Linked DNA regions of Oryctolagus cuniculus. The protein of the gene in region 3 binds, or shares a complex with, the protein of the main gene of each other region. Links are inferred from orthologs where the notes say so. Each region holds a gene or a part of one and is shown on either strand. Other genes may lie near its edges.

Region 1 (7,538 bases), on a different chromosome or scaffold from region 3:
CTCTATCCAGGTCTTCCACATGGGTAGCAGGAGCCCAAGTACTTGACCCATCTTCAGCTGATTTCCCAGACACATTAGCAAGGAGCTCAATCCAATATGGAGCAGCCAGGATTTGAAATGACGCTCATATGGAATGTCGGTGTCACAGACAGCAGTTTAACCCACTGTGTCACAATGCAGGCCCCAGCCAAGGAGCTTTGAAGTGAGCTCAACACCAGGATGCTGGGTACAAGTATTGAGTTGAGGCCAGCTTGGGGGAGGCCAGACAGAAGCTTACATGCAGGAGACAAGAAGTTGGCCCTTACTGCCCCGTAATAGTTGGTACAGCTCAATAGTTCCCAATTTCTTCACTTAGCATCAAATGGCGCATCAAGCTGCACCCTCGATACTTGACACAGCAGTCAATGGAGAAAGTACCATGAATCAGAATTGGCTTGCATACTGTTGATATGGAACAGCCTTGTCAGGAGGGGTCTTTCTTACCCACCCAGTGGGAACTCCTAGGGACAGCTGAGGGCCAAATACCATCAGGCTATCAGGGACCAGAACTGAGCACACACCCAGAAAAACAGGGTAGTAACCAAAGACCATCAACATCCTCTATAAAATAAACTTTATTAAAAAACTCCACTTAAAATTTATGTCTTCACATTATGAAACAATTTTCAAATTGTTATCCACAGAGCTTCGGAGGGACAACAAAAATGCATACTCAGGTTTCAGGCCAAATGTTAAGGCTACAGAGCCCATCCATACACAGTTTTGCACTGCTAGGCTGGCTCAGCATGATGCTGTCCTAGGACTAAGCCTTTCCTCCCATCTCTGATGAATCGACAGGACTACACTGCACGCTGTTTAGGAGGAGTCCCCCTGACAAAAGTCATGTGCATCACATTCGTGTCACTGCCGTACAGCCAGAGAAAAAGAAATGAGTCACCAAAAATGCTCCAAGTCAGCCACTATCACTCACACTCTGCCTCTCAGACCTCAGGGGAACCTGCCTGCCACCTACATTCCTGACCTGAAACATGAAGATTATCCACACCGAACTTCTGAAACCTCTGTTTTACTTGTTAGACATTTTGGGCTTCTGTGACAGAGTCTGTTGGGAAAGGGCTTCTGATGCTGAGAAAGTTTGGAAACCACTGAACCAAGGTATTCTGAAAACCAGAAAGGTCAGGTGATCAAGGAGACCTTCCATGCACCCTTGAGTCCCAGAGGTTAATATGTAGGCTCCTAAAAAAAGAAAGACACTCCCTAAACCCAAAAAGTGTGAGAGAAAGACAGAGACAGACAGACAGAGAGAGAATGTGTGTGTGTGTGTGTGTGTGTGTGTGTGTGTGTCTCAGAGAGAGAGAAAGAGAGCGTGTGCGCGTGTGTGTGTGTGTGTGTGTGTGAGTGAGACTGTCCATGTGTGGGCTCCTGTGCCTGCACACTGGTAAGGAAAGGTGAGTCTGCTAGCTTAGACAGTGCTGTTATATTTCAAAAACAATTTTTTGTCTCATTTCTCAATTATAAATGTAAATCCCCATAACTAGGGACAGAACATCTGACTGGGTATCCTGGGTTCAAATAACCTGATAATTCATTTAATGGTTCTATATTTAATGGTTCTCCAACCATGAGCAAAATGCATCTTCATAATTTAGTTTATCCAATTTTTCCCAAAGACTTGCAACAGCCTGGCTAGAGGTAAAATGGTATTTTTGAAAATATTCCAGAAATGTTAAACCATTATTTAGTGTCACTACAATGAACACAAAGAACATTACTGGGGCCGGCACTGTGGCATAGAAGGCCAGGCCTCCACCTGCAATGCTGGCATCCCATAGTGGTACCAGTTCCAGTCCTGGCTGCTTTACTTCCAATCTAACTCCCTGCTGGTGCGCCTGGGAGAGCAGCAGCAGATGGCCCAAGTCCTTGAGCCCCTGATCCATGAGGGAGACCAGAAAGAAACTCCTAGCTCCTGGCTTCGGCCTGGCCCAGCCCCAGCCATTCCAGCTCTTTGAGCAGTGAACTAGTGGGTGGAAGATCTCTCTCATGCTCTTTCTGCCCTTCAAATATAAATAAGTCAATCTTAAAAAAAGAGAGAGAGAGAGAGAACATTACTAAGCTACATGCATGCCAAGGAACACCACCGGACCATAAAAAGAAGTCAACTATTGATGCATACGCCATGGATCAATCTCAAGAAAATTACACTGAAAAGATACATTCCACATAACTCCATCCATCAACAGTCGTACAATTACATAATAAGAGAGATGTAAAACAGGTTAGTAGTTTCCAGGGCTTAGAGGTAAGGGAAAAAAGGACCGAATGGCTGGCTAACGAGGGGTAACATGAAGGAGTTTTGTGCTGACAGAGCAGCTGAGTATCTTGACTGTGGTAATGACTACAAAAGGCTACACAGCCACTTGCACATGCAAATGTGCACAGTACATGTATTTAACTGGCGAACTCTGAATAAGCTCTGTTAATTGTGCCGATGTCAATTTCCTGGTTTTGGCACTGGGCTGTGGTTTGTGTGTGCTGTTGGCACAGGAGGGCGTGTGGAGGAGGAGTGCATGGGTTTCCTGTATGTTTCTTCCCAACATCCTATGAATCTAATTATTTCAAAGTAAAAATTTTTAAAAAGCACTAGGAAAATAAAAAGTGAAAAAGCAAGTGTACCTAGTCACTCTCTGATTTCTCCAAAGATTTGAAGAACAAAGGTAAAGCCCCCAAAGCAGAGGGGATTGCTGAATACAAAAGACAAATGGAAAGATAAAGAGGCAAAAATGCAAGTGTGCATTAGATCAAGACCCATAGGTGAACCTCCAAAATTGATGTCCACAGCACTGCAGGACAAGGAAATAACATTCTAACACAGAAAGCAAGCCAAGGGCTGAGGTGTTTTTCTCATAATCTTAACAGACTGGGTCAAGGGGGTAGCCATTCCAACCCCTACTTCCATGCACACAGTAACAGAGGCAGGCCCCAGGCAGCATTGTTATACAACACAAGGCTGCCCACACTTCCAAACTCTATCATCCACCAACAGATCAGACGACTAACCCAGGGGGAAGCATTTGGCCCAGGACCAACCTCTTCCCACTCTGGTCTAAGGCTATTATCTAACCTACACCTTACCCAGGAATTCAGGATTGGGGTTGAGATCACAACCTCACTTGACGTAAGTTGTCCCATAAACACAAAAATGTAAAACTGGTGAGAGGGGAAGGGGTCATGAATGATCATTTTACAAGAAAATAAGCCAAGTAGCAAAAAGAAAAAGAATGAAATCAGCTGTGGGGAGAAGCAGGAGACAAAGTGGACTGACCGCAAGACAGAATTCCAGGTTCCTGAGCCTGGCAGCTTTCTCCGGGTTCCAAGTCCCAGGCTATTTTCCCAGCAATACTTATATTCACCCCAAAAGAATCCTAACTAATTGAACCATGACTTACTTAAAAAAAAAAAAAAAAAAAAAAAAAAAAAAAAAAAAAAAAAAAAACACTCAGATTCCCTGGCCAGCCAGGGAACTGTCAGGAATTCCTGGGGTATTTACAACAGCCCTTGGAGGCAACCAGATGAAGAACAGCTGCAATGAACAGGAAAAGAGGGGCCAGAGGCCAGCAGGTGCTAGCCAGGGAGGGTCTCACCAAGCAGGTAGGGCAAACTCACTCCAAAGGCTCCTCCCAGATTTAGAGATGACAGACACGCATGTCAGGAAAACATAGAGCAAGAAACTATGTTAAAAAACCAGCCTCCATTTCCACAGGCTGTACAGAGGCTTGGGCCACTCCCAAAGGTGAGTGCCTGCTGCTCCCCTCCTCACGGTGTGAAGAGAGGCAAGGTCCTTCCCACTGCAGGTCCCACCCGGCTCACACAGAGCCCAAGGTTAGGTTCAAGGATTCCCCAGGTCCTCTTTCACTCTATTATGGGCTATTTAAGGGCAGCCTGGGATCCCGAGGAGCCGAAAGGAGAAACAAAGCGCAGTCTGCTGCTGTTCATACTCTCCCTGGGGCTTCTGAGGTGACTCGTCACTGCTGCGGGGCTGAACTCCCCCTAGGGACCTGTTCCTGGGAGCGCTACCTACCTGAATCATGAAGTCATTCTCTTCCTGGACTTCACAGATGCAGCGGACCACTTCAAAATCATAGTGGTCATCCCCATCAAGCTCCTCGTCCGGGTTGGTGGTCACATCGACATCCTGGCCGTACTCCTCATCACTCCAAAGAAAGCTCTCAGAAGACGACTCACTCAGATTATCCTCCTCTGGGAGGAAAAGGAAAACAACAGGCATTACTGTACATTACAGTTGCACCATTTAAAGTAAAGCTCCATGAGCTTTCACGGGCTGGGAAATGGGGACCTTTGTTCCTTAGGCCTGTCCTCTCGTAACAGCCCCCCCCCCCCCCCCCTCCAAAAGCATGCTGCGTGGTGGCACCACACTGCGCTCTGTATCCTCATCACACTGAGAGAACGGAGCCCGCGCTAGTAGCCGTTCATTGTCAGAGGACGCACGACTCCCACCCCACCCTGTCAGGCCCTGGCTCCCAGTTGGCCTTCGTCAAGAGATACTGGTAAAGTTCTGCACACAGTGGGGAAGGAGACAGGGGAAGACTGCAGAAAGAATCAGAACCAGTACAATGCCCGAACAGTTAACGTCACACCTGCTGCGGCAGACAGTGGTCTAAGCCAAGGATCCGCAACACAATCAGAGCCTCCTTACCAGATGCTTTCACTTTCCCTTTGTGGTTTCCAGACTCTGAGCTGTGAAGCTGAGGGCTCATGTGGACGCCAGGCTTGTGTGAGGACCCGCACCTGGTGACAGCAAACGCCTTGGGTGGAGAAGGATCCTGGGAGGTGTCACTGATCTCCTCACTGCAGGGGCATTCTGGAAGCACAGCGTCAGGAAGGAATGAGCAACTGCAGATATCACCAGGGCAACACAGAGTCGATCTCTCCCAACCAACAGGGCCTGTTCCAGGGATTTAGATTTGCAGCTACCCTTGAGCATCTCAATCCCAACTGCTTCCTTTTCACTATTACCCCGTGTCCCCTTTTTGTAAGCCAGAAAACACACACTGAGAACAAAATATGGCATCCCTTTAACTCTCAAGGGTGGAAGAGATTTTCTTGCACATCTCTTTGGGGGCTAGACACACACTTTTCAAGGAGCAAATCCTTTCTAGAAAGGGTTCAGATGGGTGTAGACGGATGTTTAAGAGCTATGAATGAAGTGCAGTCACTCATCTGCACATCCTCTAGTACTTGGATGTCTTTGTGTTGACAGCACCGCACCAGAGCATGCTGGCCAGCACAGAAAGTGGGAGGCTTCCATAAATGCCAGGCGGCACCTCCTCGCAGGGCCCACGCAAGTCCTGGGACAGGCCTGCTGGTCCTGCTTCTCCCCAGAGCAGCCTCAGAGGCCACCACAGGAGACAGCACCCGCCCCCATGGTGAGGAAGCCCCCAGGCAAAACCCTCAAGGGAAGAGTTACCAGGTTTGACTTTCTTTTTCTTTTTCTTCTTCTTCTTTGGCTTCACTCTCACAAACTCTTTGAACTTCTTCTCTTTATTCTTTTCCTTGTCTTTTGCAGCTAGAATTAAACATGAGTTTAAGTGCTGACATTTTAATGTTTTGTCTTTAATGCTGGATGAAACACATCCAACGGGAAGAACTGGCACAGGCAGGGTAGCTGGTTCTTGGCCTGGCTCTGCCTGAGAAGTCGCCTTCCTTCCCCTGGAGGGCTCCTGAGATGGCTGCCTGGGGCAGAGCCATTCCTCCATCACTTAGCCTTTTTTTTATTCACTTTATTTTTTATATTATCTGAAAGGCAGAAACAGTCAGATGGAGAACTATTCATTGGTTCACTTCTCAAATATCTACAACAGCACAGGCTGGGCCAGGCCTCTGCACCAATGTGGGAGACCCAGAAGAAGCTCCTGGCTTTGCACTGGCTCAGTTCCGGTCATTGAGGCTGTCTGGGGAACAAACCAGTGGATGGAAGACCTTCTCTCTGTCTCTCCCTCTGTCTGAACTCTACCCCTCAAATACATAAATAAAATCTTAACAAACAAAAACAAAACAAAACCACCTGAATGTCAGGGCCCCCTCTCAGAGATGTTGACTTAATTGGCTTGGGATGTGGCACAGACCTCAAAATTTTTTCATTTTTTTAATTGAGGCATAATTCATAGAACATAAAATTAATCATTTTCATGTGAACAGTTCACATCTTCCAAATACGACATCAATTTCTCTACTCCTTAGAGCAAAACTCTTTAAGTTATCAATATTCCCTGTCCAAAGTTCTCCCTTTGACTTTTCCTAATTCCATTCTACAAAGCTCTCACCTATTACTCTGAGACAAGTGTTCAAATTTAGTAGATTCCCTATTAACAAATCTAGCTGTTTCTCCTCCATGTCATCAAACACAACTGTGGCATTTCAAGTAATTCATCACATGTCACTTATTAGATTTCAACAAGAGTTTGAGCATACGAATATCCTATGACCTAGCCATTCCACTTGGAGAGATCTACCCAGGAGAGAGCTTAACATATATCTACATAGGGACTGACATAGCAGCTTCACGTGTCATTACTCCAAACTGAAAATTGCCCAAATGTGCATTAACTGGGGAAGAATATACCCATCAATAGATACAGGAACATAAGGGAATCTCTTAAGTCGGCTGAGTGAAAGCAGCCAGACAAAACTAGTGCATTCTACATGATTCTATCTATAAAATGTCCTAGAAAATGACAACTAATCTCAGGAACAGAAAGCAGGGGTGGGTGCTGTGACACAACAGGTTAACCTGCTGTTTGGGACTTTGGCAACTCATATCACAGTGCTGGTTCACATCCCAGCTACTCTGCTTCCCATCCAACTAGCTGCCAATGCACCTGCGAAGCCAGCAGGTGATGACCCAGGGACCCCCAGATGCAGTTCCTAGCTCTTGGCTTTGGCCTGGCCCAACCCTAGCAGCTGTAGGCATCTGGGGGCTGAACCACGGGATGAAGCGCCATCGCGTGCACACTCTCCTCTTTCAGCCACTCTGCCTTTCCAATAAATAAATAGATTTTGTAAAAACAGGGATAAAAAAAAAAAGCAGGGGTCAACATTGTGGCATAGCAGGTAAAGCTACCACCTATGAAGCTGGCATCCCACTTGGGCACTGGTTTGAGTCCTGGGTGATCCACTTCTAATTTAGAGCCTGGGAAAAGCAGCTGAGGTAACATAGTTGTGTGGACCTCAACTGCGTGGTCCAATACATTCAGTGGTCAGTAGCCACACACAGATGCTGAGAACCTGAAATGTGGCCAGCCTGACCAGAGATGTTCATTAAGGATTTAAAAGATTCAGTAGAAAGGGTGTAAAACAGGCTGGCGCCGCAGCTCAATAGGCTAACCCTCTGCCTGCAGCACCGGCACACCGGGTTCTAGTCCCAGTTGGGGCGCTGGTTCTGTCCCGGTTGCCCCTCTTCCAGGCCAGCTCTCTGCTGTGGCCCAGGAGTGTAGTGGAGGATGGCCCAAGTGCTTGGACCC
Region 2 (7,538 bases), on a different chromosome or scaffold from region 3:
TGACCATTACATTTCAGAAGTTCTGAAATGGTCAACAGACCATAGAAAGACATTTCTTTAGGCTCCTGCTTGAAACCAACAGCTTCAGCACACTGCTGGTCTTGATTCAGGGCCAAAGTAAACAAGGAGCTTCAATTAAACAAGCCAGCAGATTCCCACTAGCTCTCAGTCTAGCAAGCAAATCACAGCCTGAACACAGTAAAAGGATACGAGTAAGGCAGTGTCTGGTCATAGGAAGAGACTGATTGGAACAGCGAACATCATCCACAAAGGCCAAACACCTCTGACTAGAACGAGTGGTATGCGCCTAAAATGGAAAAATTAGATAAACTCTTCAAAGAACATACAACCAATTATGATGAAAAGAATTATAAAGTACATCTTCACAGGGTAGAAAATTCAACATCTAATAAATGAATACACCAATATTACACATAAGAAAAAATGCAGAGGGTGGGCATTTGACATAGCAATTAAGACACCTTTTGCGTTTCCCACACCCCACACTGCAGTGCCCAGGTTTGTATCCCCCACTCTGCTTCCAATTCCAGCTTTCTGCTAATCTGCACCCTGGGAGGTAGCAGGTGATGGCTTAAGTGTTTAGGTCCCCCAAGCCCACATGGGAGATTCAGAAAGAGGTTTGGGCTCTTGGCTTCGGCCTTACCCAGCCCAGGCTGTTCAAACCATTTGGAGAGTGAACACCAGCAGATGGGAGATATCTGTCTTGCAAATAAAATCAAAAATAAAATTTTTTTAAAAAATAACAAATTCAAGAATGATCACGGGCCAGCGCCGCAGCTCACTAGGCTAATCCTCTGCCTGCGATGCCAGCATCCCAGGTTCTAGTCCCAGTTGGGGCGCCGGATTCTGTCCCGGTTGCTCCTCTTCCAGTCTAGCTCTCTGCTGTGGCCTGGGAAGGCAGTGGAGGATGGCCCAAGTGCTTGGGCCCTGCACCCGCATGGGAGACCAGGAGGAAGCACCTGGCTCCTGGTTTCAGATTGGTGCAGCACACCAGCTGTAGCGGCCATTTGGGGCTGAACCAACAGAAGGAAGACCTTTCTCTCTGTCTCTCTCTGTCTATAACTCTCTCTCTCTCTCACTGTGTAACTCTGCCTGGCAAAAAGAAAAAAAAAATGATCATGGGCCCAGCACTGTAGCACATCTACCCGCTGTAGCACAGTGGGTAAAACTGCCCCATTCAGTGCCAGCATCCCATATGAGCACCAGTTTGAGTCCCAGCTGCTCCACTTCCAATTCAGCTCCCTGCTAATGCACCTGGGAAAGCAGAAGATGGCTCAAGTCCTTGGGCCCCTGCACCCACATGGGAGACCTGGAAGAAGCTCCTGGCTCTTGACTTTGGACTGGCTCAGCTCCGGCCATTGCAGCTATTTGGGGAGTGAACGAATGGATGGAAGACCTGTCTTCTCTTTCTCTAACTCTGGTTTTCAAATAAGTAAATAAATCTTAAAAAAAAAAAAAATCACTTCTTATAAACCTAACTTCCTTACATTCAACTGCTTCTGTTCTATTTTCCCACTCTTTATAACAAGATTGTCAAGCAAGTTAGGCTTAACCTATGCTTACTTCTGAACTGAAGATTAGAGATCTATCCCAAATAATAAATCTGCAGATAAGTTAAGCTATTATGTGATCACAGGAGTAGTCAGAAGGGGACTAAGATTGGAACCCATGTCTCCTGACATCTTGGTTAGGTGCCTTCATTACAATCTAAGTCTAGTGAGTGAGATTACAGAGCCAGGATTGGATATAGTATTTTGACAACACTCCAAACTTCATAAATAAAGGGGCTATATATATACCTTAAAGCAGGAATATGGAATACTTGGCCGCTAAATAGCACCCACTAAATCATTTGGTCTGGCCTTGTCAAGGCAACTATATGTGGGACTCAAAATTGAGTAAACCTACAGCAGACTTAATTTTTAACTGGATAATTTTGGATGGCCCACAAATGACGTTATAAATACCAAAATGGCCCTTGACAGAAAAAAAGGTTCCCCCACCCCTACGTAAAATCACCTGTTGAGCGGCCCCATCTGTGGCTAGCATTCTGCGTTCCTTCAGCTGCCTGTGTAGTAACGCTTCGACTCCATAGCGCTGGCGATACCGCCGCAGACATTTTAATCGTTTCAAATTCTCACGTTCTTTGGCCAAAAGTCCCTCTGGGCCAGTCAGGAGACTACCACCTGGGAAGTCCCAAGAGTCAAGATGTTATTTGCCAAGCAATCCACAAAGGATATGTCTGCTAATCAACAAGAAAAGAGGAAAATCTTGGGACCAGTGCTGTGGCACTGCTATCTGCAGTCCATATGGGCACCAGCATGAGTGCCAGCTGTTCCACTTCTGATCCAGCTCGCTGCTGATGTGCCTGGGAAAGTAGCAGAGGATGAAGCAAGTGCTTGGGCCCCTGCACCCATGTGGGAGACCAGGAAGAAGCTCCTGGCTCCTGGTTTTGGCTTGACCCAGCCCTGGTCATTGCAGCCATCTGGGGAGTCAAACAGCAGACAAAAGATCTTTCTCCCTCTCTCTGTAATCTTTCAAACAATAAATAAATCTCTTTAAAAAAAAAAAAAGAGAGAGAGAGAGAAAGAGAGAGAGAGAGAGAGAGAGAGAGAGAGAAATGGCTATAAGATAAGCAATCCCAAAAGCAAATTCTCCCCCACTGCAGGTACTAAGACAGAAATAAATCTAATTACTACCAAATCCAAATGCTGAATCCACAACATCTGTGGTACTGGCATAAGACTTGCCTAGGGCTTCATGTTCCACTTTGCGGTTATGTAAGTACCGGCGCTTCTTCTCCTTCAGCAGATGCTGAAGTCGTTTAAACTGGTCGATGTACAAAGACTGCAAACGAATCAGCTTCTCGCGCATAATCAGGGCCACTTCTTCAGCTGTGTAGACACCAGCATGTCTGGAATAAAACAGAGATTCCAGCAAAGCATAAGAAAACATTGTAATAAAAACCTAAGCTTAGGAGCCAGCATTATAGCACATCAGGTTAAGCTGCTGCTTGTAACCCCAGCATTCTGTATCAGAGTACCAAGTCAAATCCCAACTGCTCAGCTCCCAACCCAGCACCTTACTATTGTGCATGGGGGCTGAGAATGGCCCAAATATTTGGCCCTGCCACTCACATGGGAGTTCATGCCTCCTGGTGTTCATCTGGCCCAGCCCTGGTTGTTACAGCCATTTGGGGGAGTGAACCAGTGGATAGAAGATCTCCTACCCACTTCTCTTTCAAAAAATAAATAAATAAATAAATCTTTAGAAATAATCAAAAAAGTGAAGGCGTGAATCCATGGTTGCAGTGCTTTAACCATTTAAAATAGAATAATCTCTAACAAGTCAGGACATCTTAAAGTGTAGACTGAACGTCTACATACGCATCAGTATACTTTAATTAAAGTATAAAAGATACCAATAACAAATGATTGGAACTTCTGATTTTTCAGAAAGCCTATCAGACAGGGCCGGCGCTGTAGCATAATAGGTTAAACCTCTGCCCGCAGCACCATCAATCCATATGGGTGCCAGTTCGAGTCCCAGCTGCTCCACTTCCAATCCAGCTCTCTGCTGTGGCCTGGGAAAGCAGAAGATGGCCCAAGTGCTTAGGCCCCTGCAGCCTCATGGGAGACACAGAAGAAGCTCCTGGCTCCGGACTGACTCAGCTCCAGCCATCACAGCCATTTGGGGAGTGAACCAGCAGATGGAAGACCTTTCTCCCTGTCTCTCCCGGCCTCTCCCTCTCTCTGTAGCTCTACCTCTCAAATAAATAAAATCTTTAAAAAAAAAAAAAAAAAGCATATAAGATACTTGAGCTATCACAGACCCCTAACCAACAATCAAAATGGCCTACAAACTACTCAGCAGTTTCTTGACAGTATCCCAAGTCAATCCTTAATAGCCAAATCCACAAAGGTCCATATCAACTTTAAACTTTGCTGCCAATTATAAACAGAACTTCAAAGCATGCCAGTAACTGATGCATTGAAAACTATGTCCTATTTCTGATTTTTAAACCTCAAAATTAAAAGATTAACTTCAAATTTTAAAGGTCTTAGGTTAACCAAGTCTTATCAGGCCATTACACTAACAGAAAACTTAAGTTCAATATACACCATACCTTAATACTAAGTTTCATATTTTCAGAGAAAACATTTCCTTTATTCAAAATTTGGTAATACAAAAAAATCACATACCTAATTAATTTTAAGTTAAAAAATTATGTTCTCTTAAAAAATAGCTGTTAAGTCACCAGAATACACAAAGCAAAATTAACTTTAGGACTGAAATCAAGTTTCTGCCAAAATAATTTTTATAAACGGGAGGGGGCCGGTGTTGTGGTACAGCAAATTAAGACTACTTACAATGCTGGCACTCCATACTGGAGTGCCAGTTCAAGTTTGAGTCCCAGCTGCTCTGCTTCCAATCTAGCTCCCTGCCAATGCACCGGGGAGAGCAGTGGAAGACAACCCAAGTACTTGGGCCTCTTCTACCCAACATGGGAGATGAGAACTAGATGGAGATCCAGGTTCCTGGCTTTAGCCTGGGCCAGCCCCAGCCATTTCAGCCATTTGGGGAGTGAACCAGTGGATGTAAAACCTGTTTGTTCCTCTAACTGTGCCTTTCATATAAACAAAATCTGTACAAAAGGGGGCAGGGGGGGCGGCACAGTGGCATAGCAGGTAAAGCCGCCGTCTGTAGCGCCGTCATCTCACATGGGCACCGGTTTGAGTCCCGGCTGCTCCACCTCTGATCCAGCTCTCTGCTATGGCCTGGGAAAGCAGTGGAAGATGGTCCAAGTCCTTGGGCCCCTGCACCTGCGTGGGAGACCCAGAAGAAGCTCCCGGCCTCAGATCGGTGCAGCTCCAGCCGTTGTGGCCATCTGGGGAGTGAACCAGCAGATGCCAAGACCTCTTTTTCTCTCTCTGCCTCTGCCTCTCTGTAACTCTGCCTTTCAAATAAATAAATCTTTTTTAAAATGTCCAAGGAAGAAAGGAATCAAGAACACATAAAGAAAATAAAAAGTACTTCATTAAATGAACACACTACTAATAAGCTAATAATGTCAACATATTAATTTATAACATTTAACAACTCGATGTACATCCCAAAATTGCATGTATTTAGTGGATCAAATTCTTTTTGGACAACCTCACTAGGAAAATTAAGCAGAGTCTATATAATTTAGTTGCCTAACAGTTAAGAATATTTGGAGCTTTATTTTCCCTTTTGAGTGTCTTTCTTCTTTGAGACTGCTATCAATTACCTTAGTCCTTTTGGCATTTTTACTTCTCATAAAATTGACTGATATTCTGGATTATACAGCAGTCTCTTGTGAATTAATGTATAAGAATGTGTCCCCTAGAGACTAAACCACTCTCCTGACAAAATCAAATTTCTGGACCTTCAAAGCTTAGTTTATTTACTGCATCAAAGGTCAGGCATTTTCTGACTGCACAGAGCACACACATCTGTAAAGCAAGTCTGGCCGCCCAGAATAACAACGGGGGCAAAAACATGTTCTATCTAATTACTACTGTGAAAGAATCCTGCTAGGAAACATTCTCTTTCAAACAACTTAGATGGACTTTCTAAACTAGTACTTCCTGAATAGCTGACTACCCTAAGATTACTCAACAGAAATGAAAGAAATCATTCTACTCAGAAAATGTCACCAGGGGCAACACTGTGACGCAGCAAGTTAAGCCACCACTTAAAATGCCATCATCCCGTATCACAGTGCCAGGATAAGTTCTAGCTACTTCCCATCCAGCTCCCTGCTAATGGCCTGGGAGGGCAGCAGAAGATGGCCCAAGTGCTTGGGCCTTGGCCACTCACATGGGAGACCCAGATGGAGTTTCTGAGCTCCTGACTGTTGCAGTCATCTCTCTCTTGACCTGCCTGCCAAATAAATACATATTTTTTAAACAGGAAAGAAAATGGGGCTGCTGCTGCAGTATAGCAGGTTAAGCCTCTGCCTGCAATGCCAGCATTCAATCTGGGTGCTGGTTCAAGACCCAGCTGCTTCACTTTCCATCCAGCTCCCTGCTAATGCACTTGGGAAAGCAGCAGAAGATGGCCCCAGTGCTTGGGTTCCTGCACCCACATGCAAGACCCAGAAGAAGCTCCTGGCTTCCGTCTAGCCCAGCCCCTGTCGTTGAGGCCATTTAGGGAATGAATCAGCAGATGGAAAATTGTGCTTCTCTCTCTTTCTCTCCCTCTCTGCCTTTCAAATAATATCTTAAAAAAAAAAAAAAAAAAAGAAAAAGAAAAAATGTAAGCTGGGTCAGGGGTTTGGCACAGCGGTTAAGACGGCCACATCCCATATTAGAGTGCCTGGGTTCAATTCCTGGCTTCACTGTGTCCAGCTTCCCCTGAGAGGCAGCAGGTGACAGCTTAAGTATTACTTGGGTCCCTGCCATCCTCCTGGGACTCCCAGATCAAGTTCCTGGCTCCCAGCTTCAGTCTGGCCCAGCCTCAGCTGTTGCAAACATTTGGGGATTAAGCCAGGCAGGGAGATCTCAGTCTCTTTGTCTTCCAAATAAAATTTTTTAAAAATCCATAAACACAGAGTTTTACAAAATAAGTAGTTATTACTCCAGTAGAATCACCTCATTATTCCTGAGGTTTAGGCCAAAAATCTGTTCACACCCATCTTCTCTTCTCTAATCCACACTAAGAATTTCTCAACCCACCACCCACTCTCATGAAATTTCCTCTTTTCTCCCCTCTTTTCTTATGTACAGAATCTAGTGTTCAAATTTTTTTCTAAATTACAAGACTTCTAAAAATGAATTTCATCCTGCCTTGAAGCAAGATGGTGATGAACCACGATATGCGAAGCTATCACTGCTCACAACAGCCATCTTGCCCCCCTCCTAAGGTTATTAATGAATTAACAGCATGCAGCACTACATTCCACATACTAACTAGATAAAACATTCAAAAGCTTTTGTGGAGTTACAACTTACTTTAGGGGATCTTCTTGATCACTGTCTATGCTATCAGCTTCACTGTCAGGGTCACCTCTCCATGTCTGATCCACAGTAATGGGTTCCTGCTCCCCATCACTCCAGCTGTCTTCATCTGAGGCAAGGGAGGGAGAGCAGCCATAAGACTTCCCACCTCTGTAACTCCACCACACAAAACTAGGTTACTTAACATATCAACTCAATACACAGGCACTGGCAAATAAAAACACAAGTATAGAGTGCTGATAAGATTATTTACAACTCAAGAGGTCCAAAAAAGTCAACTTAAAAAATTATTATTCTTTCCTGAAATAACCTAGCAAAGTGCTGAGCATAAAAACAGCAATGAAGGAAGAGTCACCAGCTCAGGAAAACAAACCAAAAGCAACACTATTTCAGATTTGAAAGAGTTGGTGAACATAGCAATCCTGGAATTCTCACCAGATTCCCAATAAATTAACAATACTGCCAGCACATTCAAGGCACTACCTTCCCTTTTCCACTACAGGGAAAGGCCCTTACCCAGGATGCGGCTGGCTT
Region 3 (7,538 bases):
AGAGTAGCTTTGATCATTGAGATGCCTGTTATTCCTTTACAAGGCTAGACATGTAGGGCCTTTAGTTGTTTTTTTGTTTTTTAAGGTTTATTTATTTGAAAAGCAGCGTTAGAACGAGAGAGAGGTCTTCCATCTGCTGGATCACTCTCCAAATGGCCACAGTGGCCAGGTCTGGGCTGGTCCAAAGCCAAGAACCAGAAACTTCTTCCAAGTCTCCCTCATGGGTGTCAGGGGCCCAAGAATTTGGGCCATCTTCCTCTGCTTTCCCAGGTGCATTAGCAGGGAGCCGGATTGGAAGTGGAGCAGCCGGGTCTTGAACTGGCACCCCATGGGATGCTTGCGTCATGGGCAGCGACTTTAGCTGCTATGCCACAATACTGGCCCCTTGTCTTTCTTTCTTTTTTTTTTTTTAAGATTTGAAAGAGAGAGAGATCTGGTTCACTTCCCCAATGGGCCACAGCAACCATTTGGGCTGGGCCAGGCTGAAGCCGAGGACCTGGGACCTGGGCCATCTGCTGCTGCTTTTCCCAGGCCATTAACAGGGAGCTGGACGGATTTGTGGAGTTGGAGGGGGTGGGGGGTGTCTTCCATCCGCTGATTCACTCCCCACATGGCTGCAACAGCTGGAGCTGGGCTGATCCAGAGGCAGGAACCAGGAGTTTCTTGAACTGGCACCCACAGTGCCAGCCCCTAGTTGTTGGATTTTCATAAAATGTACTAAAATAGAGATCATTTATTTGGCCTCCTTTAAAAAAAATTATATATATATATATATAGTTTTTAAGGATTTCATTTATTTATATGAAAGGCACAGAAAGACAGAAATCCTCCATTTACTGGCTCATTTCCCAAATGCCTGCAACATCTGGGACTGGGCCAGGCAGAAACCAGGAACCAAGAACTCAGCATAGGTTTGCTGTATGGATGGCAGGAACCCAAGTACTTGAGCCATTACCTGCTACCTCCCAGGGTATACATTAACAGGAAGCTGGAATCGGAAGTGGAGCCAGGATTTGGGGTGCAGTGTCCCAAACAGGCTAAACTGCTGTACCAATCTTCTCTGGCTTCCTTTTTTTACTTTCTGTTTTTAAAGATTTAATACATTTATTTATTTTCTTTGAAAAGCAGAGTGACAGAGAGGTCTTAAATACACTGATTCACTCCCCAAATGGCCATAACAGCCAAGTCTAGGCCAGACCAAAGCCAGGAGCCAGGAACTTTATCCAGGATTCTCATGTGAGTGGCAGGGGCCCAAGTACTTGGGCCATCTTCTGCTGCCTTCCCAGGCACATTAGCAGGGAGCTGGATAGGAAGCAGAGTAGCTAAGACTTGAACTGGCACTATAATATGGGCTGTCTTTGGGGTTGGCACCTCCAGCCTCCTTTTTTATCACTCAGTTAGATTAGTTTTAGGTTTATGTTCTAACTACAGAGCTTAAAGCAAGTCCAGGCTCCCAGGTGTCAGTCTTTTTAGGGATGTTTTGGAGAAGTCGTTCAGCTTTTGTCATTTGCCAGCTTCTTAAGAATTTAGTATCAAGGCTTTTGAAGCTCAAGGAAATGTTTTCATTTAAATACCTTGTTTTTCATGGCCATTTAAGCCTTCTTATCTAACTGTGGAATGTGACACCATTGAAAACTATTTAATAGTGTTCCTACTGTGGAACCGTAATCCATGCGGTGAGAACCCAGGTAAAATGTAACACTGTCCCTTAGTAGACTGTGTTGAGTTGCTGTGAGGGAGTCAGTGTGATGGGAACACAGCTGAGGACTGAGAGGCCTCGTTATTCTTGACCTCTTATTTAGAAGCTTGGCTTCTGCCACTCACGGTGCTCATCTGTAAAATGAGGTTGTTGGGGCTGGCCCCATGCTCACTTGGTTAATCCTCTGCCTGTGGTGCCAGCATCCCATATGGGCGCCAGGTTCTAGTCCCGGCTGCCCCTCTTCCAGTCCAGCTCTCTGCTGTGGCCTAGGAGGGCAGTGGAGGATGGCCTAGGTGCTTTGGTCCCCGCACCCGCATGGGAGACCAGGAAGAAGCACCTGGCTCCTGGCTTCGGATTGGCACAGTACCGGCTGTGGCAGCCATTTGGGGAGTTAGCCAACAGAAGGAAGACCTCTCTCTCTCTCTCTCTCTCTCACTGTCTATAGCTCTACCTGTCAAATTAAAAAAAAAAAAAAAAAAATGAAGTTGTTAACAAGATCAGAGGCCAACAGCCAATCAAATCAGATGTGAGTTAGGAGGCTCAGCAACTTCCTGCCCTCATGGGAAGCTAGGGATTTTATGACTAGCTGGCGAAGGGGGAATGCAGCGGCCGGGATCGTTTTCTCTTACCCCTTTAGTTTGTGGCCACCTTTCCTCCTCTCTGTTAATCCAGTTCAGCAATTCGCAGTATTCGGGGGGTTTGGGGGCTGTGTTGGGGACCTCAGTGATACAGGTACTGTTTGTCAGTGAAGCCATAGGTATGGGCCTTCTGGGGTGGATAGTTGAGGGTGCCATGCTTGATTTTCATATTTGTTACTGGTCGTTCATCATGCCATGAAGAGACTAATCCGTCCCCATTTTGCAAATGTGCAAACAGATCCAGAGCTTAGCCTGAGGGCCCCCTTAGCATTTCTTCCTGGGCCTAGGAAATAACCAACCCAAAAAGGAAGTCCATTCTTAATCCCATGGATTACCATGGATCGTTTAAAACAGAACCCGTTTACTCCTTTTTGTCTCTTAGAATAAGCAAAGCAAAGAAGAAATCAGAAGGTTTGACTCAGAGCATGGTGGACAGATGTATTCAGGTAAACACCTTTTCTCCGCTAGGCTTGTGTTTTAGATTTAGCCTTGTTGGCAGCAGCTTTGCTGAGGGGTAACTGGGCCCTCTGGTAGGTAGAAATCCTACGCAAAGCAGAAAGAAGAGAAGGAGAAGAGTGGTGAGCTGAGGTGTGAGTGAGGCGCTGGGGAGAAAGGGAGTGTTGGAGGAGTGGTAGAGTGCACCGTGCCCCAGTGCCTCCCAGTGCCATGGCTGCCCCAAAGCCAGCACAGGCCTGGCTTCACGTGAGTGAGGACTAGCACATCTGGGTGCCGAAGCCAAAATGGAGTTGATTTTAGTTTGAAATAAACAGGGAGGCTCCTGTACTCCAGACGAGGTGTAATAGGCTGGGTTTACACTAGGATGAAATTGTGGACTTCCTGACTGGAGTGCTCACTCGCGCTGAGGGGCACGTGGGCTCTGAGCCTCGGGATCAGGACGCTGAGAAGAAGAAGAAGCCTCGTGATGCCACACGTCGAGACCTGGCCTTTGAAGTCTCCGAGCGGGGCAGTCGACCTGCTTCCCCTGCCGCCAAGCTGCCCGCTTCACCCTCGGGCTCAGAGGTAGTGTGGGCAAGGGAGGAGGCTGGGAGGGAGTACTTTGGCTGGGGAATCTGAGCTGCGGACTTGGTTCCTTAGTTTCTGCAGATGCCTGTCTACCGTGTCAGTGCTGTAGGCCTGTGCGTCCCTGTCGGGGGAGTTCCAGGGGAACGTGCTGACTGATGTGTGACTCCAAATGACTATCTGCTTGTATCTTGACCTTTTTTCTCTACTTAGGATCTCTCCAGTGTGTCCAGCAGCCCCACCTCCAGTCCCAAGACCAAAGTGGCCACAGTCACCTCTGTCCAGAAGTCCAGTCAGATTGGCAGCTCTCAGCTGCTCAAGAGACACGTCCAGCGGACAGAAGCTGTGCTGACCCACAAACAAGCCCAAGGTAAAGGCTCCTGGTTCAGTGGTGCTCTTGGGTTCAGTCTTCTGCAGTTGATGCCACGTAGCAGTTGGAATACATTGGCATCTGCAGCTTTTTCAGGGGGATAAGAAGTACTTTTCCCCCATGTTTCTGTCCAGACAAAGTTAGGTTGAATTAATGCATTAGTAGTGCTTTGTGCTTGCTAGTTCATAGCTTTTCTGTCTTGTTGTTCTGGAGAAGTTGAGCTTTGTGAGCTGCCTACATGGATATTGGCCTGACTACTAATTGGGGATGTTCTTTTTTTCTCCCAATCACTCTTGCAGTCAGGGAGCTCTCCGAAACAGGATGATTGATTTTATCCATCAAATTCCAAGGCAACTCAACTGGTGTCATGCCCTTTCTTTGTCTTGCTCTTAGAAAGTAGATTCCCGGCTGGTGCCGCGGCTCACTTGGCTAATCCTCTGCCTGCGGCGCCAGCACCGTGGGTTCTAGTCCCAGTTGGGGTGCCAGATTATGTCCCAGTTGCTCCTCTTCCAGTCCAGCTCTCTGCTATGGCCCGGGAGTGCAGTGGAGGATGGCCCAAGTGCTTGGGCCCTGCACCCGCATGGGAGACCAGGAGGAAGCACCTGGCTCTTGGCTTTGGATCGGTGCACCGGCCGTGGTGGCCATTTGTGGGGTGAACCAACGCAAGGAAGACCTTTCTCTCTGTCTCTCTCTCCCACTGTCTAACTCTGCCTGTCAAAAAAAAAAAAAAAGAAAGTAGGTTCCTGGGCTGGGACTGTCAGCAAAGTTTATAGTGGTTCTCTGCAGATAGGTTTTAGAGGGGGCAATAATATCTGTATAGTTGGAATTCATTTGAAGAGCTGCACATACTAAATAAAGGTAGAATTCAGTAGGTAAGAAAATGAAGAAACAGTGACTTCTGCCTGCCCCTTCTTTCATCCAGTTGAATGGCCTTCCGGCAAGGCCTCTTGAACATCATTTTTTTTTTAATATTTATTTTTTATTTATTTGAAAGGCAGAGTTACAGAGAGCCAGAGACAGAGAGAGGTTGGTCCTCCATCCACTGGTTTACTCCCCAGATGGCCACAACAGCCAGAGCTGGGCCTATCCGAAGCCAGGAGCTTCTTGGTTTCCCATGAGGGTGCAGGGACCCAAAGACTTGGGCCATCTTCTGCTGCTTTCCCAGGTGCATTAACAGGGAGCTAGATTGAAAGTGGAGCAGCCTGGACTCGAATCAGCACCCATATGCAATGCCGGCCCTGCAAGTGGCAGCTTTACCCACTATGCCACAGCACCTGCCCTGGGCATCAGTTTCTGATGGTACATTCAAGAACATGTATTGCTGGAGTTCTTAGGAGTGCCTGGGAGGAGGAAGTAGGTGGAGCTGGCTGTAGAACAGATATGGAGGTGGTGTAGGAGGCGGATCTGCCAGCTTCTGCTTTTAGAGTTCAAGTTCAACTGAAACCCAGGTCTCTTGTGAGGCTGCTCATTACAGTGGTGCTAACAAAGAACAGAAGTGTAAGTAGACAAATGAAGGCTAACAGGAGACCAGTGCCCTACATCTGTATGGATGCTCCGTGAACTGGATTTTCTTGAGTGTTTAGTGGGCAGTGTCCCCTTAGACTTTTGGTAAAGGTAGAGCCTGCTGTGTATCTTGGGGGAGGATCAGTCAGGAATCTAAGGAGTTCTGAAAGGCTGACTGATGAGCTGGATTGGAAGCAGGACCCCAGCGTCCCAGTGAAAAGCAGCAAGCAAGGGCTAGTAGCAGCTAACTTACTGGAGCCCTTAACTCACTGTGCCCTCTTCTTGGGACTTGCTTGCCATGGCTTGTCGAGTCTGGACAGCAGCCACATGTTGCTACCTCCGTTTATGGATGGTTCCTTGGAGCTACTCAGCGAGTCAGGTTTCAGACCCGGGCAGGGACAGAAAGAGCCCCTGCGACCAGTTTCTGGAACTTTTTCATCTTTTTCTTATTCTGTCTCTCTTTCTCCTTTTTCTGGCCGGCTGTGATTCTGTAATTCTTTCTGATTCATTCCAGCACAGTTTGCTGCTTTTCTGAAACAAAATATGCTGGTGAGGAAAGCTCTTCCTCCTGGCACCTCCTCCTGTCTCTTTGGTGAGTATTACTCTCTCTCTCACCTTTCCGCCGTCTGCTCTCTGCTTTATTCCCACCCCTCTTGATTCTGTCCTGTCTCTGCTTCTCATCTGCCTCTCTCATCTGTTTGATTTCCTCCTGTTTGCTTCTCTGAGCTTTTCCCCGTCTACAGATGCTTTGTCTTGTATCTCCATTCTCTCTGTTTGCTTCTGTGTGTTTTCCTTGTTTGCCTTCACTGTAGCTCCTTCACCTTTGTGTGCCTGTGGCCCATTGCCTGAGAGCCTGAGTTTCCCTGTGTGCTCGCTCCCTGCTTGTTTCCATGCTTCCACCCTGCCAGCTGCAGGCACACTAACCACTCAGCAGAAGAAACCTGCGGCTCCTTCGCCCTCCCCGTTCCTTTCTGCTCTGATTCAGCGAGTACATTTGTCCTCTCCACAGTGCCATTCCACAGTAGCTGCCTGTGCCCTGGTCATGGCCCCATGCCTGGATCCCCCTCATGCTTGTGTGGCTGCCTTTCTCCCCACCTCCACCCCTGGCTGCCTGTGCGAAAAAGGGCTGGGCGACTTCTGGGTTGAAAGCCAAGGACATTTGTGAGGACTCCTGAAGGATAACTTGCAAGTCCAAGAAGCTGGGCTGTGGGCATTATGATGTGTGAACAGATAGCCTTTCTCTGTACTTGTACAGATGACCCAGGACCACCTTTAGGAGCTGTGAGGCTGCCAGGGCTTTGAGCCTCCCTCCCCCAGCCTGAAGTCCTGGAGGTTGTCCTCCTTGCCCCCTTTGGCAAGCACCCCTCAGCCCGGGCTCTAAGGACAGAATGGGACTCCTCACAGTCTTGTGAAAACTCCCTGTTAGAAAGGACTGGGTGCTCCTCTGTGGGTTCTTCATGGAATGTTTATTGTCTCCTGGCTGAGTGATGACATGGGGGATGGCTTGGGACAGGAGAGTGATCACACTGTGTAGATATACTTTAGTGAGTCCTCCATTTTTATTCTTGCTGTGGCTTTTGCTAGACAGATGTCTTCTGTCTTGTTCCTACCAACTCTGGGCCTCTTCCCTTCCTTTCTTCAAAGGCAGAGTGAGAGATGGGGATGGGGCCATTCTTTGAGAAGGGCAAGGTGGGCTTCAGCTCAGGCAGACCTCATTGAAGTGGACTGAAACGCGGGTCGTCTCTTGTGAAATGTGGCCTAAGGGTGGGTTGATCTTCCTGTGTGTTCCCGTACTGACCTTGACAAACAGTGTCCACCAGGCTTTCTTGGACTGTGCAGAATCTCACCTGAGCTCCATCTCTTAGTTCCTATTTCATCAGAACCAACAGAGGAGGCAGAAAAAGAAGATCTCCGAGTCCAGCTGAAGCGACACCACCCCTCCAGTCCTCTGCCTGGCAGTAAGGCCTCCAAGCGACCAAAGATCAAGGTGTCCCTTATTTCCCAAGGGGACACTCCTTCCCAAGGAGGAGGTGCTGAAGGTGAGTTTCTCGAGCCTGTTTAAACCCGAGTGGACCTGGCTCTCCCAGGACACAAAGTGTTGCTTCCTGGTGGCTCTTCTTGGAGCAGGCAGCTCAGCCTCTGCTTCAGTGTGAGAGAGACCTGGAGCAAAAATGGCACATTAATGGCAAGGGGGCATTGACTTCCAGGGACCGAGGGTGCCGAGGGGTCGTTCTGAGCATGGCATGTAAATATGTATATTTGTTTTGAATAGAGATAAAATATTCCAAAAAAGTTAGAAAATAGGAGA

The links. The genes of interacting proteins can lie anywhere in the genome.
Region 1: KANSL3 (region 3) and PHF20 share a complex: the UniProt entries of both Homo sapiens proteins name them as parts of the NSL complex. The link is inferred for Oryctolagus cuniculus from reciprocal best matches to the Homo sapiens genes KANSL3 and PHF20.
Region 2: KANSL3 (region 3) and KANSL2 share a complex: the UniProt entries of both Homo sapiens proteins name them as parts of the NSL complex. The link is inferred for Oryctolagus cuniculus from reciprocal best matches to the Homo sapiens genes KANSL3 and KANSL2.

Annotation. Positions count from the first base shown.
Region 1 is NC_091442.1:22,323,668-22,331,205, forward strand, and holds part of PHF20 (PHD finger protein 20), read right to left. Parts: intron 5,585-7,538; coding exon 5,486-5,584; intron 4,880-5,485; coding exon 4,715-4,879; intron 4,258-4,714; coding exon 4,079-4,257; intron 1-4,078. UniProt on the Homo sapiens protein: Methyllysine-binding protein, component of the MOF histone acetyltransferase protein complex.
Region 2 is NC_091442.1:52,170,246-52,177,783, forward strand, and holds part of KANSL2 (KAT8 regulatory NSL complex subunit 2), read right to left. Parts: coding exon 7,521-7,538; intron 7,114-7,520; coding exon 6,999-7,113; intron 2,936-6,998; coding exon 2,772-2,935; intron 2,208-2,771; coding exon 2,041-2,207; intron 308-2,040; coding exon 211-307; intron 117-210; exon of another isoform or gene 1-116. UniProt on the Homo sapiens protein: Non-catalytic component of the NSL histone acetyltransferase complex, a multiprotein complex that mediates histone H4 acetylation at 'Lys-5'- and 'Lys-8' (H4K5ac and H4K8ac) at transcription start sites and promotes transcription initiation.
Region 3 is NC_091433.1:111,109,748-111,117,285, forward strand, and holds part of KANSL3 (KAT8 regulatory NSL complex subunit 3), read left to right. Parts: intron 1-2,719; coding exon 2,720-2,783; intron 2,784-3,156; coding exon 3,157-3,357; intron 3,358-3,570; coding exon 3,571-3,727; intron 3,728-5,744; coding exon 5,745-5,822; intron 5,823-7,095; coding exon 7,096-7,269; intron 7,270-7,538. UniProt on the Homo sapiens protein: Non-catalytic component of the NSL histone acetyltransferase complex, a multiprotein complex that mediates histone H4 acetylation at 'Lys-5'- and 'Lys-8' (H4K5ac and H4K8ac) at transcription start sites and promotes transcription initiation.